Ovis aries: one gene and its partners. The protein of the gene in region 3 interacts with the protein of the main gene of each other region in a pairwise test. Links are inferred from orthologs where the notes say so. Each region holds a gene or a part of one and is shown on either strand. Other genes may lie near its edges.

The links. The genes of interacting proteins can lie anywhere in the genome.
Region 1: the proteins of CREB3L1 (region 3) and PLP1 interact in binary tests that used the Homo sapiens proteins (3 or more experiments, as listed by UniProt). The two-hybrid records come from large-scale screens. The link is inferred for Ovis aries from reciprocal best matches to the Homo sapiens genes CREB3L1 and PLP1.
Region 2: the proteins of CREB3L1 (region 3) and SLC35B4 interact in binary tests that used the Homo sapiens proteins (3 or more experiments, as listed by UniProt). The two-hybrid records come from large-scale screens. The link is inferred for Ovis aries from reciprocal best matches to the Homo sapiens genes CREB3L1 and SLC35B4.

The regions. Positions count from the first base shown.
Region 1 is NC_056080.1:129,387,536-129,391,185, reverse strand, and holds part of PLP1 (myelin proteolipid protein), read right to left. Parts: intron 3,119-3,650; coding exon 2,857-3,118; intron 1,789-2,856; coding exon 1,620-1,788; intron 1,174-1,619; coding exon 1,100-1,173; intron 380-1,099; coding exon 314-379; intron 1-313.
Region 2 is NC_056057.1:99,624,385-99,628,034, reverse strand, and holds part of SLC35B4 (nucleotide sugar transporter SLC35B4), read left to right. Parts: intron 1-2,899; coding exon 2,900-2,981; intron 2,982-3,200; coding exon 3,201-3,261; intron 3,262-3,650. UniProt on the Homo sapiens protein: Antiporter that transports nucleotide sugars across the endoplasmic reticulum (ER) membrane in exchange for another nucleotide sugar.
Region 3 is NC_056068.1:75,243,506-75,247,155, reverse strand, and holds part of CREB3L1 (cyclic AMP-responsive element-binding protein 3-like protein 1), read right to left. Parts: intron 3,171-3,650; coding exon 3,092-3,170; intron 1,001-3,091; coding exon 843-1,000; intron 197-842; coding exon 47-196; intron 1-46.

The DNA of each region.
Region 1 (3,650 bases), on a different chromosome or scaffold from region 3:
ACCCAGGTCCCTTGTGTTGGGAGCTCAGAGTCTTAGCCACCAGCGAAGTCCCAATATCTTATTTCTTGGCCACAAATCTCTTTCCTCCTCTTCCCTCATATCACTTTGCTTGCTCCTATCTCATTTTTGAAAATTTTCAGCCTTGCCAACCCAAAGCAGAAAGACATAGTCTCCATACTCTGCTGTCTCTGTCCAGGAGCTTCTCGCCAGCATTTCAAGTTTAGAAGGAATCTATCTTTTTACCTTTCAGGATAGCTGTCTCCAAGCTATCCCAGGACCATTTATTTGCCAAGATCATTCAAAGACAACTCACCAGGGAAACCAGTGTGGCTGCAGCCCCCACAAATGCAGCAATAAACAGATGGAAGGTCATTTGGAACTGTAAGAAAATGCAGAAGAACTGGGTCTTGCAACTTTCAGAAGGTGCTGATATTTCTTTGTGTGTTAATTTGGCGTCTCTAACTAACTTATCACATCCCAGAGTATAGGCCTCCCATTCTTCCGTGTACCCATAGCACCCAGAACATAGAATACTCACAAAATAATATAGTCCTCCCAAATAATCAACTGGTTCCCCACGGTTGTGCCTGGGATCGCAAAACATTTTGCTTTCAAAGAAATAGTTTACTGCCTTCTTCCTTCCTTTTATTCCCCTGCTGCATTTGTGCATAATATCCACTTTCAATACAGTGTTTTCCTTTTTCAAATGTACTTCCTTTTTAAATGAGATTGAGAAGTTCCCAACAAAATATGTGTTATAAAATCTATGAATATCTGTGCACAACTCATTTCCTTGATAAGGTTTTTTAGAATAAAAATGTTCACTTGGGGGATTTTGCCATTAAGCTCTATCTTTACCTAAAGCTACAAATTTCTCTTTTAAGAGAGGAAGCCTTAGAATGGAAGATTTTATCTGCTGTTTTTAGGAAACTAGATATTTTACCATGTATACGCTCACTGGCTCAGGCGATATTTCATAGAAGGCAATCTGCTAACTCAAAACCCAGCAAAGAGAAACTGTAGTCCTAAAAATCCAAGATGGATAGAAATGTTACAGTTTGGGCGATTTGACTGTAAAATAACCCAGTGGCTCACTCACCTCAGCTGTTTTGCAGATGGACAGAAGGTTGGAGCCACACACCTTGCCAGGGAAAGCATTCCATGGGAGAACACCTAAGTAAGAGACAAATATCACAAGGTAAGCTTCACAGAGCTTTGGGGTTACCTGGAGAACTTCTTTCGTCTTTAATCATCCTGGCTGAAAAGTTGGGTCCTGCTAATTATCAGGATTTTCTTTTCTAAAGATTTACTCAAAAAATAGAAGGTGGTATTGAACAGTTGCAAACTTTTCTGTTTGTTATTGAAATGGGCTGCTTCTGGTTTCAGAACAGCAGTCAACTAAGAGAGGAGTGCAAACAGCCAAGAAAACTGCCACCACTTCCAACAAGTTCCCTTCTCAGGGAAGAAATCTCTCTGGTTTCAGTGGAGAGGGATTAACGAACTAAGATCCAAGCACCCATACTTCTTATTTCTCCCCATAGTTACCACCCTCCTTAGCCTAAGAACCAAATATATCATGCTTCGATAGGGAGTAGGAGGGCCAAGCCGCCCTAACTCACCATACATTCTGGCATCAGCACAGAGAGTGCCTATACTTGCAGAGGTCTTGCTGGGGGCAGCAATAGACTGGCAGGTGGTCCAGGTGTTGAAGTAAATGTATACAGGCACAGCAGAGCAGGCAAACACCAGGAGCCACACAACGGTCAGGGCATAGGTGATGCCCACAAACTAAAACAATTGACATGGAGCGGTTAGAAATCAGTGTCAGTCTGCAGACATTGAAATGTAAACAAAGAGATCCTGGAATGGCATGTGCCAGACATGAAACCAGATTTCAGGGATCTCCGCCAAATAAAATTAGTAAGCGGGGCACCTTTGCCAAATGTCATTGGCAGTATCTTATCTACTAGAGAATTGGCCCCAAGTAATGACGGGGAGGGGGAGAATGGGTGGGGGTTGGAGTGAGGAGGACCCCTGGGTTAGAAAGGCTTCGGGAGATTGTTTTGACAGAAAAGGTGTGAAGAAATCAAAAAAGATCTTGAAAGAAAGTCGTGCCATTTAAATGCCTTAGGCTGAGCTTAGAAAATGTCCCTTGTCAAAGGACTTTGGATCCCTAGTTATTGAACAAAGCCAATAAGAGATTTCAATTTCCAATCCAAAAACCTTTCTAAGCCAACTGCTAGCCACAAAAGATAACAGCACAACCCCCAGATGTTCAGCCCCCAAATGGTCTTTAACTCTAGAGGCTGGAAACCAATGTGTACCTCACTAGAAGCATAATAGCCCTCTGACAGATAAGGCCTTAAACATGCAGATCTATGCTAGTTCCCTCTGGGACCTTCAACAATGTAGGATCCCAGAATAGTATGGATTCCATCTCAGAGTCAATTTCTATGATCCACCCTCCCTGTCAGATCAGGAACCTACATCTCAATCCACTGAGTAACATTTCAAATTCTTAGGCAGTCAGATCTACTCTTGTTGTGGTCCCAGCTAGGAAGGGATCAAAGAGGTACCGGTAGATGGCTTAGAAATGGTCTGATTGTATGAAGCACCCCACATAACTCAGGCTTTCCCTTTTGAGATGAAATTTTCTAGGGACATTTTGAAAAGTGAGGCTAAGCCGGCTGGGCACCACGTTCTTCCTGACCTTCTCATTTGGCCGTAGCCATCAGGTCCTCACTCAGAAGCCAGGCCCCTAGAGAGGACCCAGCCTTGGGTGGGGATGAGGCCACAGACTCATGCCCAGTTGTCCCCCACCCCTTGTTATTGCCACAAAATCCTGAGGATGATCACCTTGTCGGGATGTCCTAGCCATTTTCCCAAACAATGACACACCCGCTCCAAAGAATGAGCTTGATGTTGGCCTCTGGAACCCCTCCCCTTCTGGCCCCCTGTTACCGTTGCACTCAGGCCCTTGCCGCAGATGGTGGTCTTGTAGTCGCCAAAGATCTGCCTGACTGCGCCGGTGGTGTAGAAGCCCTCGGCCAGCAGGAGGGCCCCATAAAGGAAGAAGAAAGAGGCAGTTCCATAGATGACATACTGGAAAGCATGGATCCTGTGTTAACAGATAACACAAAGCCAGAAAATCTTATGCATGGAGGACCTGGTTCCCTTGCTGCATAAGTCAGTTGGACTCTTGAATAGGCTCCTAAACAAGGCTAGGGTTGCTTTAGGGGAATCACTAGGTTCTTCCTTTAGGCTTCTACCTTGTACTTATTGAAGTAACTGGAGAAGGGAATGGCAACCCACTCCAGTACTCTTGCCTGGAGAATCCCATGGACAGAGGAGCCTGGCGGGCTACAGTCCATAGGGTCACAAAGAGTCAGGCACGACTGAGCAACTAACACTTATTGAAGTAAAAGAAGATGCTCCTCCCCCACATTTGGCTTACCCTGTGACCTGAAGAACTGGGACCCTACTTTCCTTGGCCTGACCCTTCAGAGATGCTCCCTCAGAGGAGAGAGGAGAGAGGAGCTAGGTAAGAAGGAAGACGGATGAAGGAAATAGAGCCTAACTTGCTCTAGAAACAGGAGAGGCTTAGTACTGGGCCAGAGCACACTCAAGTGGTGTGGTGAAACGAGAGCAGC
Region 2 (3,650 bases), on a different chromosome or scaffold from region 3:
AGTACCATACTAACGTGTGAAGCCAGGCTTCCCTGGTGGCTCAGTGGTAAAGAAATCTGTCTGCCAATGCAAGAGCCCTAGGTTCAATTCCTGGGTTGAGAAGATCCCCTGGAGAAGAGAAGGGCAGCTCACTCCAGGCTTCTTGTCTGGGACAGAGGAGCCTGGCAAGCTATAGTCCACAGAGGGTCAGACACAACTTCGCAACTAAATAACAACAGTAACTTATGAAGCAATTGATCTAGAACTTTACTGTCCCGCATGGTCATCACTGGCTACATGTGACTATATACTAAGACATATATGTGGAGTTTAGAAAGATGGTAACAATGACCCTGTATGCGAGACAGCAAAAGAGGCACAGATGTACAGAACAGACTTTTGGACTCTGAGGGAGAGGGTGGGATGGTTTGGGAGAATGGCATTGAAACATGTATACTATCATGTAAGAAACGAATCGCCAGTCTAGGTTCGATGCAGGATACAGGATGCTTGGGGCTGGTGCACTGGGATGACCCAGAGAGATGGTATGGGGAGGGAGGTGGGAGGGGGGTTCAGGATTGGGAACTCATGTACACCCATGGCGGATTCATGTTGATGTATGGCAAAACCAAGACAATATTGTAAAGTAAAATAAAGTAAAATAAATACAAATTTTTTTAAGTAAATAAAATTAAATATATAGTTTCTCCATCTCTCTAGTCACATTTTAAATGTTCAGTAGCCATGTGTGACTAGTAGTAACCATATTGGAGAGCCCAGGTGTGGAACATTTCCAGATTTACCAAAGTTCTGTGGGACAGGGCTCTCCTAGGAAGCATACAGCATAGTGAACTAAGGAATAATCATACCCATTACAAAGAAGATTCCTAACAAAGGCCCAAGTGGCCAAGAAGAGGCAAGGAAAAGTTTTAGGACTGGTGTTTGTGGCTATCACGAGCAGCTCACTCTGGGTACAGTTGGGAAGTATCAGAAGTACATGAGGGACTTTCCTGAAGGTCCAGTGGTTAAGACTTCACCTTCTAATTCAGGCAGTGCGGGTTCCATCCCTGGTTGAGCTAAGATCCCACATGACCCCAAAGCATAAAACAGAAGCACTATTGTAACAAATGCAATAAACACTTTAAAATGGTCTCCATCAAAAAACAATCTTTAAAAAAAAAAGTAGCAGTACCTGGGATGCTGTTTCCAGGGATTTTTGTCTCACCTTCGTTCAGAGCCTCACCCCTCACACCCAAGGAGGAGGGGCAAGGGGCAGAGACAGCACATACCGGCCGGAACGTTTCTTAGGGAAAGTTCAGCCTCACTGTTAGGACCAAAAATGTGAGTTGGTGCCAGCTTTTCAATGTAGTCCATACCCAATCCCAGTACTGGAACTCTGTACCAGCTTGGAAAGTAGCTGTCAGCTCAGCATGGGAACCTAGGGTTTTTTAAGTAAAAAGGACTGGGTCATAAAAAGGATAATTGTCCTATCCTGCTGGCTCCTGGTGATGAGCTCTTTATCTCCCGAGGCTCATATATTCCCCAGATGAGAACACCCTCGTAGTTGATTGCTTTTCTAGGCTCTTCTGTTCAAGCACACAGAGATAATGCTCAGGCTCATTACCTTTGAAGTGACCCCTGTGCTTCTTGGTAGTGTAAAATTCACATTGGGACAGACCTGTGGTCTTTATAACCTTTGATTTTGGTGCATAGCAGGGATATGGAAGAATTTACTATAAAAGGAATGCATTAATATTCTGACATACCCCAAATGTCAGGGGCCTTTATCAAACATCCAATTTTTCCTTAAGAACCTGTTCTGAGTCTGTTATCTCTCTCTCTTTTTGACTCAGTCCAGTAGGTCTTACCCAGAGAGCAGAAACTTCTCTAAGCTAACTATCTATATCATGGATTAGTCATTTAGCATCTCCTTTTGCTTATCTTGAGTAGTACCCCTTCAAGTTTATATGTGTTCCCCACTATAGACCAAACCTCTATTCACCTTAACTGTGTTCTTCATGATTGTTCAGACCTCTGTCTCTGATCATTGCAGACTGAAGAGCTCCCGTCTGTTTATACATCTGGGGCAGCAGTGCCTGTCTCCTCACCCACCCCTCTTCTCTAGAGGGGTGCTTTTGGCTCCTTGCCCCACCCCTTGGCCGGTTCTTAGTCACCCCTTGGCCTTTTTCTGACACGCTGTGACCAGAACTATACAAAATATTTCAGTAGAAAATTTCAGATTTTCTGAAGGTTTTAACACCTTTTTATTGTCGCCGGAAGCGTTTTGCTTCACCAAGAGCCTGAAAGGGATGTTAATTGATACTATTATAGTTATTGTGAAATGCCACCGTTATTCCTGCTAACAGTCCTATTGGTTTAGTATTACTCGCTTTATCCAACTATGCCCACATTTAAAAACAATATTTAAGTCATTCAGAGACATTAAGACAGCACCCTCCCCTGAAAAGGGACAGTTGAATTCTTTTCTGAAGGTGGAATCCTGCTGCTTGTCCTGGTAGTCCATCTGTCCTGTTCTTCCCCTGCAGGCTGTGTCTCTTCACACTATGTTTGGGCCCCAGAAACCAGGAAAAGGAACAGGAATTCCGTATTAAGATCTGTCAGACTTTCATTTAGACACAAGAGCAGAATGGACTGTCGTGCCTGATCTGTCTTTTTTTGTTTTCTGATGAAACAGTCTGATGAAACAGTTTTCTGATGTACTAAGTCTTGGACACCGCCAGAAAGGGTGTGGTCTAGAAACGAGTCAGTATCCTGATTCTTTCACGCACAGACTTAGGTGGACTCTGCTGAGAAGTGATCCCCTTGATCATGTCTTGGTGATCTGTACGTTCGTGAACCACACTTTACTGTCAGCATCATGTGGAAATTCATATCTGTGCTCTTTTTATTATTTTTGCAGATACAGTATCTTCAAATATACCTCCATTGCCCTGGTGTCTGTGGGGATATTTGTTTGCACTTTCATGTCGGCGAAGCAGGTGGTAAGAGTCTGTTCACAAATGATTTCTATTCACTCCTCACCAGGGATGCCCAGGTACTTATTAATGATACAATAAATGTAAGTACTCATGTAATACAAGGATCTACATCTTTGAAAGAGAATTATGGAGGGAAATGGGTGACATAAATATTTTCCTTGTATCAAGGCCCCTTGCATGTAGTTCTGGTCTCTGTACCTCATATGTTTTTTTATTTCCTAGACTTCCCAGTCCAGCTCAGCTGAGAATGATGGATTCCAGGCATTTGCATGGTGGTTGCTAGGCAAGTACAGTAATTACAGTAAAGCTAATTGCCTCTGCAGTTCTGTTTTCAGAGTTTTCTCCTAAGGGATATGTTTCTTGGCAAGAAGCTTCAACTGAACAGATTATGCCATGGAAGAGAGAGACACCTTTAACTATATATCTCTGAACCTTAGTGTTGAAGAAACTAAAAAGAAAATGTCTCTGTTCAGGGTAGCATGTTCTACAACATGGATGTTTTTCCTGGTTGCCACTAGTGTAGAAAGAAGAGTCTGTGTCTAGTTGCCCGTCACACTCTCTGGGAACAGTGGGAGTGTCACCCATTTCTTTATGATCTGTCTGCTGAGCAGAAGCTTCTACAAAAGGAGGGCACATTACAACAGTTGACTCTTTAAATTTCCATAGGACCCA
Region 3 (3,650 bases):
CCCAAGGAAGCCCCAGGGCAGGGCTAGGGTCTGCCTCGTGCTCTACCTTGTTCTTGATCTTCCTCCGGACTCTCTTCAAGGCCTTCTCCTCGGCTTTGGTGAGGGGGAGTTTGGTGGGGATGGGGTAGCCCTCAGCAACCAGGGTGCGCTTCTCCTCCTCCGTCAGGAGCAGCGGCCCCGACGTCCCCTGTAATTTCTGTGGCAAGGGGGACATACTAGTTAGAAACCAGACAGCCCTGCATTCAAATCCGAGCTCAGCCATTTACCCTGGGCATGACCTTGGCAAGGCACCCAGCTCGCTGAACCTCAGTTTCCTCATCTGCAAGAGGGGCGGATCTGAATTAAATCCAGTAACATGTCACAAGTGCTGAGGATGTTGCTGGCAGCCTGGCATGTTAGGCCCTTAATATACTGTTGGGAAGGGCTGGTCTCTAGATCCCATCGTGGAATCCACAGCCTCAGAGCTTACTTGTCCAGGGCCCCGTGAACAGCACCCACCTCGGACACCTAGCACCTCTAGACTGAGGGTTCCTCAACCCGTCCCAGGGCTCCTGGGCCTCCTGAACTTTGCTCTGCAGACAGTGCTCCTTGGAGGCAGCCTGGGCCGTCCCCCTGGAGGTCAGGAATGTTAAGCTGTAGACCTAGCTTGGCCACCAGCGGGTTCAGCAGGCCTCCTGGACTCTTCCTGTCTCCTATTCATCCCCAAGCACAATTAAAAGATCTTCACTCCCATCTGTGGGGCAGGCGCCTCCTGTGTTCTGATATGGGTGGGATCAGGTTTAGGGCTCCCCCCAGACACTGGATTCTTCGACTCTGGGGTCAGTCCGGCCCCAGCCGCTTACGTGAGGGGCGGTGAGGAGTGGAGAGGTGGAGATGGCCGTGGAGGAGCGGGCCATGGGCCGGATAGGGCTGGAGGGGGGCAGAGAGCGGGGACTCTGGGAGCCGTCGCTGTCGCTGCCGTGGCTGCTGGGGGGCGTCGGGGGCATCTGCAACAGGTCCTCTGCGGGGAGTAGGAGAAACCAGGTTAGCCGGGCGCCCCAGCTCCGGGCAGACAGAGTTCAGCACAGCGGGGGCCTAAGCCGGTCCCAAAGGCATGTGGGCAGACTGCTCCGGCCTTGACCCTAGAACGTCAGAAGACACCCCCCACCCCCACCCCTGGACCCTAGCGTGTCAGAAAGTAGAGTTGGCATCCCAGAAGACAATATCTGAAGGCCATGCCCTCTCTGACTCCACCAAGCCCAGCTCCTTTAAACCCGATTCTTGGTGGGAATTCCCTGTTGGCTCAGACGATAACGAATCCCCCTACAATGCAGGAAACCTGGGTTCCCTCCTTGGGTTGGGAAGATCCCTTGGAGTAGGGAATGGCTACCCACTCCAGTGTTCTTTACTGGAGAATTCCACAGACGGAGGAGCCTGGTGTAGTCTGTGGATGGGGTCGCAGAGTTGGAAATGACTGAGTGGCTAACACTAATACTTGGCAGGGATAACACAGAGGTTGGATTCTCGGGGCTCCTTGTCCCTGGGTCGGGAAGATCCCCTGGAGAAGCAAATGGCGACCCACTCCACTATTCTTGCCTGGGAAATCCCATGGACAGAGGAGCCTAGCGGGCTACAGTCCCTGGGGTTGCAAGAGTCGGACACGGCTTAGTGACTAAACCCTGACTTCACAGGGCTCAGGGTCTGTGACACTCCAACTTGGCAACCCCAGGAGATGACTAGAGTCTGCCCACAGCGAGACCCACGGGGATCAGGCAGGGCAAGCGGCAGCCTCTTTTCCTTTCTTTCCATTTCAGAACACCAGGGTGTCTATTTCCCACCTCAGGGTAACAGGGCTTTCAGCAGACCCGCCAGGAGCACTGCTCTCCCCAGCATGCCTTCCCTGCTGCCTCTCTGGGCCGCAGCATCGGGAAGAGGCCTGGGCCAAGCCCAGAGGACCAAGAACCTGGAAGGCTGCAGTCCCTGGGATGCACAGCGTCGGACACAGCTGAGCACGCGTGCACACACACGTGGGAATCTGGAGCCCACTGCACCGCAGAGCTGGGCTGAGACTGGGAGGAACCACTGCGTCCTTCCGGGCTCTGCCCCCCACCGCCTCCTACAGGAGGCCCCTCTCTCTTCTTTGGTGTCATCTGCCTCTCGTGGATGCCGTACTGTAAAGAGCACTGAACTTGGAGTCAGACCTGAGTTCAAGTCCTGACTGTTGTACCCCACAACTATGTGACCTATATTCATGCTTACTTATCACCTCCCAGCCTCACTTCCCTGTTTAACTGGGGGTGGAATGACTCCCTGTATGGAGCTGGGAGGATGCAGTGGGCTGATGGATGTGACTGTGCTTTATGATGTAAGGTGTTTTCACACTGGTCCCTTTCTACCTCCAGTTAATTCTGTCTTCTGTCAGAGGTTGTTGTGAGTAACTTGAGGATGAAACTTGGGCCTTGTTCATCTTCCTGAACCTTGGGATGGTTAGCCCAGAGCCTGATACACAGTTGATGCTTAATCAGTGTTGGATGAATGAATGAGGTTGGATTGGAGAGATTAAGTTAGTTCTCTCTCCTGCTCAATCTGAGAAGCTCCCTCTGTTCTCTCCTGTCAGATCTGGGGAGGTGTTTCCTGGGATCTGTCATCTTTAACCCATAACACAACTGTATAATTTAGTGGTTTGTCCGTGACCCTACTGTGTGAGCTCCTTGGGTACAACGACTGTTTTCTCTCTCTGTGTCCCCAGTTCCTGGAACTAGGAGAGGCCCAATGTACTCTCGTTGGATGGGTGGATGAATGGATAGATGGAAGAATGGACAGATGGACGGATAAATGAGTAAAAGGATGGGCTGATGGCTACGGAGAGGACCTCAGTTAGCGAATGATGGGAGGGGAAACTGGCAAACAGGGCGAGAAGGTGGCGATAACAGTGACGACAGCTGTAGAATGGGTAGGAAGGGGACTGGAGGGCCGGAGAATGGGCACAGAAGGGAGGAGAGACTCACGGGGAGAAAAGGGACGTTTTGAGGGAGACGGGGCTGAACTGAGGGGTAAGGAATGCGGTCTGTCCAAGACTGGAGACGAAGAGCCCCCCTCCAGACACACTCACCTGGTGTCACTTTGAGGAACTGGTTCACCTCCTGGGGCTCAGCTTTGATCACTGGCAGCTGAGTCATCTCTCCTGGGGCCTGCGGAAGAGGCAGGGCTCCAACAGCTGCTCCGGGGGCCTGTCCCCACCAGGCCCGCCAACTTCCCTCCCTCCCTGGGCCTTGAGGCGGGGGGTGTCTGCCCTACAGCATTAAGAAAGTAGCTGGGCTCAGGGTTCCAGGCATATCCCAGAGGAAGCAGAGGCACGTTCCTGTGTTTAGAGAAGGCAAGACAGGCCTCAGGGAAGAGAGTGGGGGCCCAGGAACATCCTCTAGCTCCCGAGTTCAGGGAAGAAGGGCTTCCCGTGGCCTCTGAGCCCAGGGCCGTCTTGTTTGGAGGACAATGACCCTACACCGACTGTGAATACCATGCAGGCCTGGGTGTGTGTGTTGCCATGAGACCCCCATAATGTAATGTCTGGCAGATTACGCTGCCAGAGACACTGCCAGATTCCCTGAATGGTAACCACAGCACCGACGAAGGAGGCATTAGAGAAAGGTCTCCGAGGGTCCCTGAGCAGC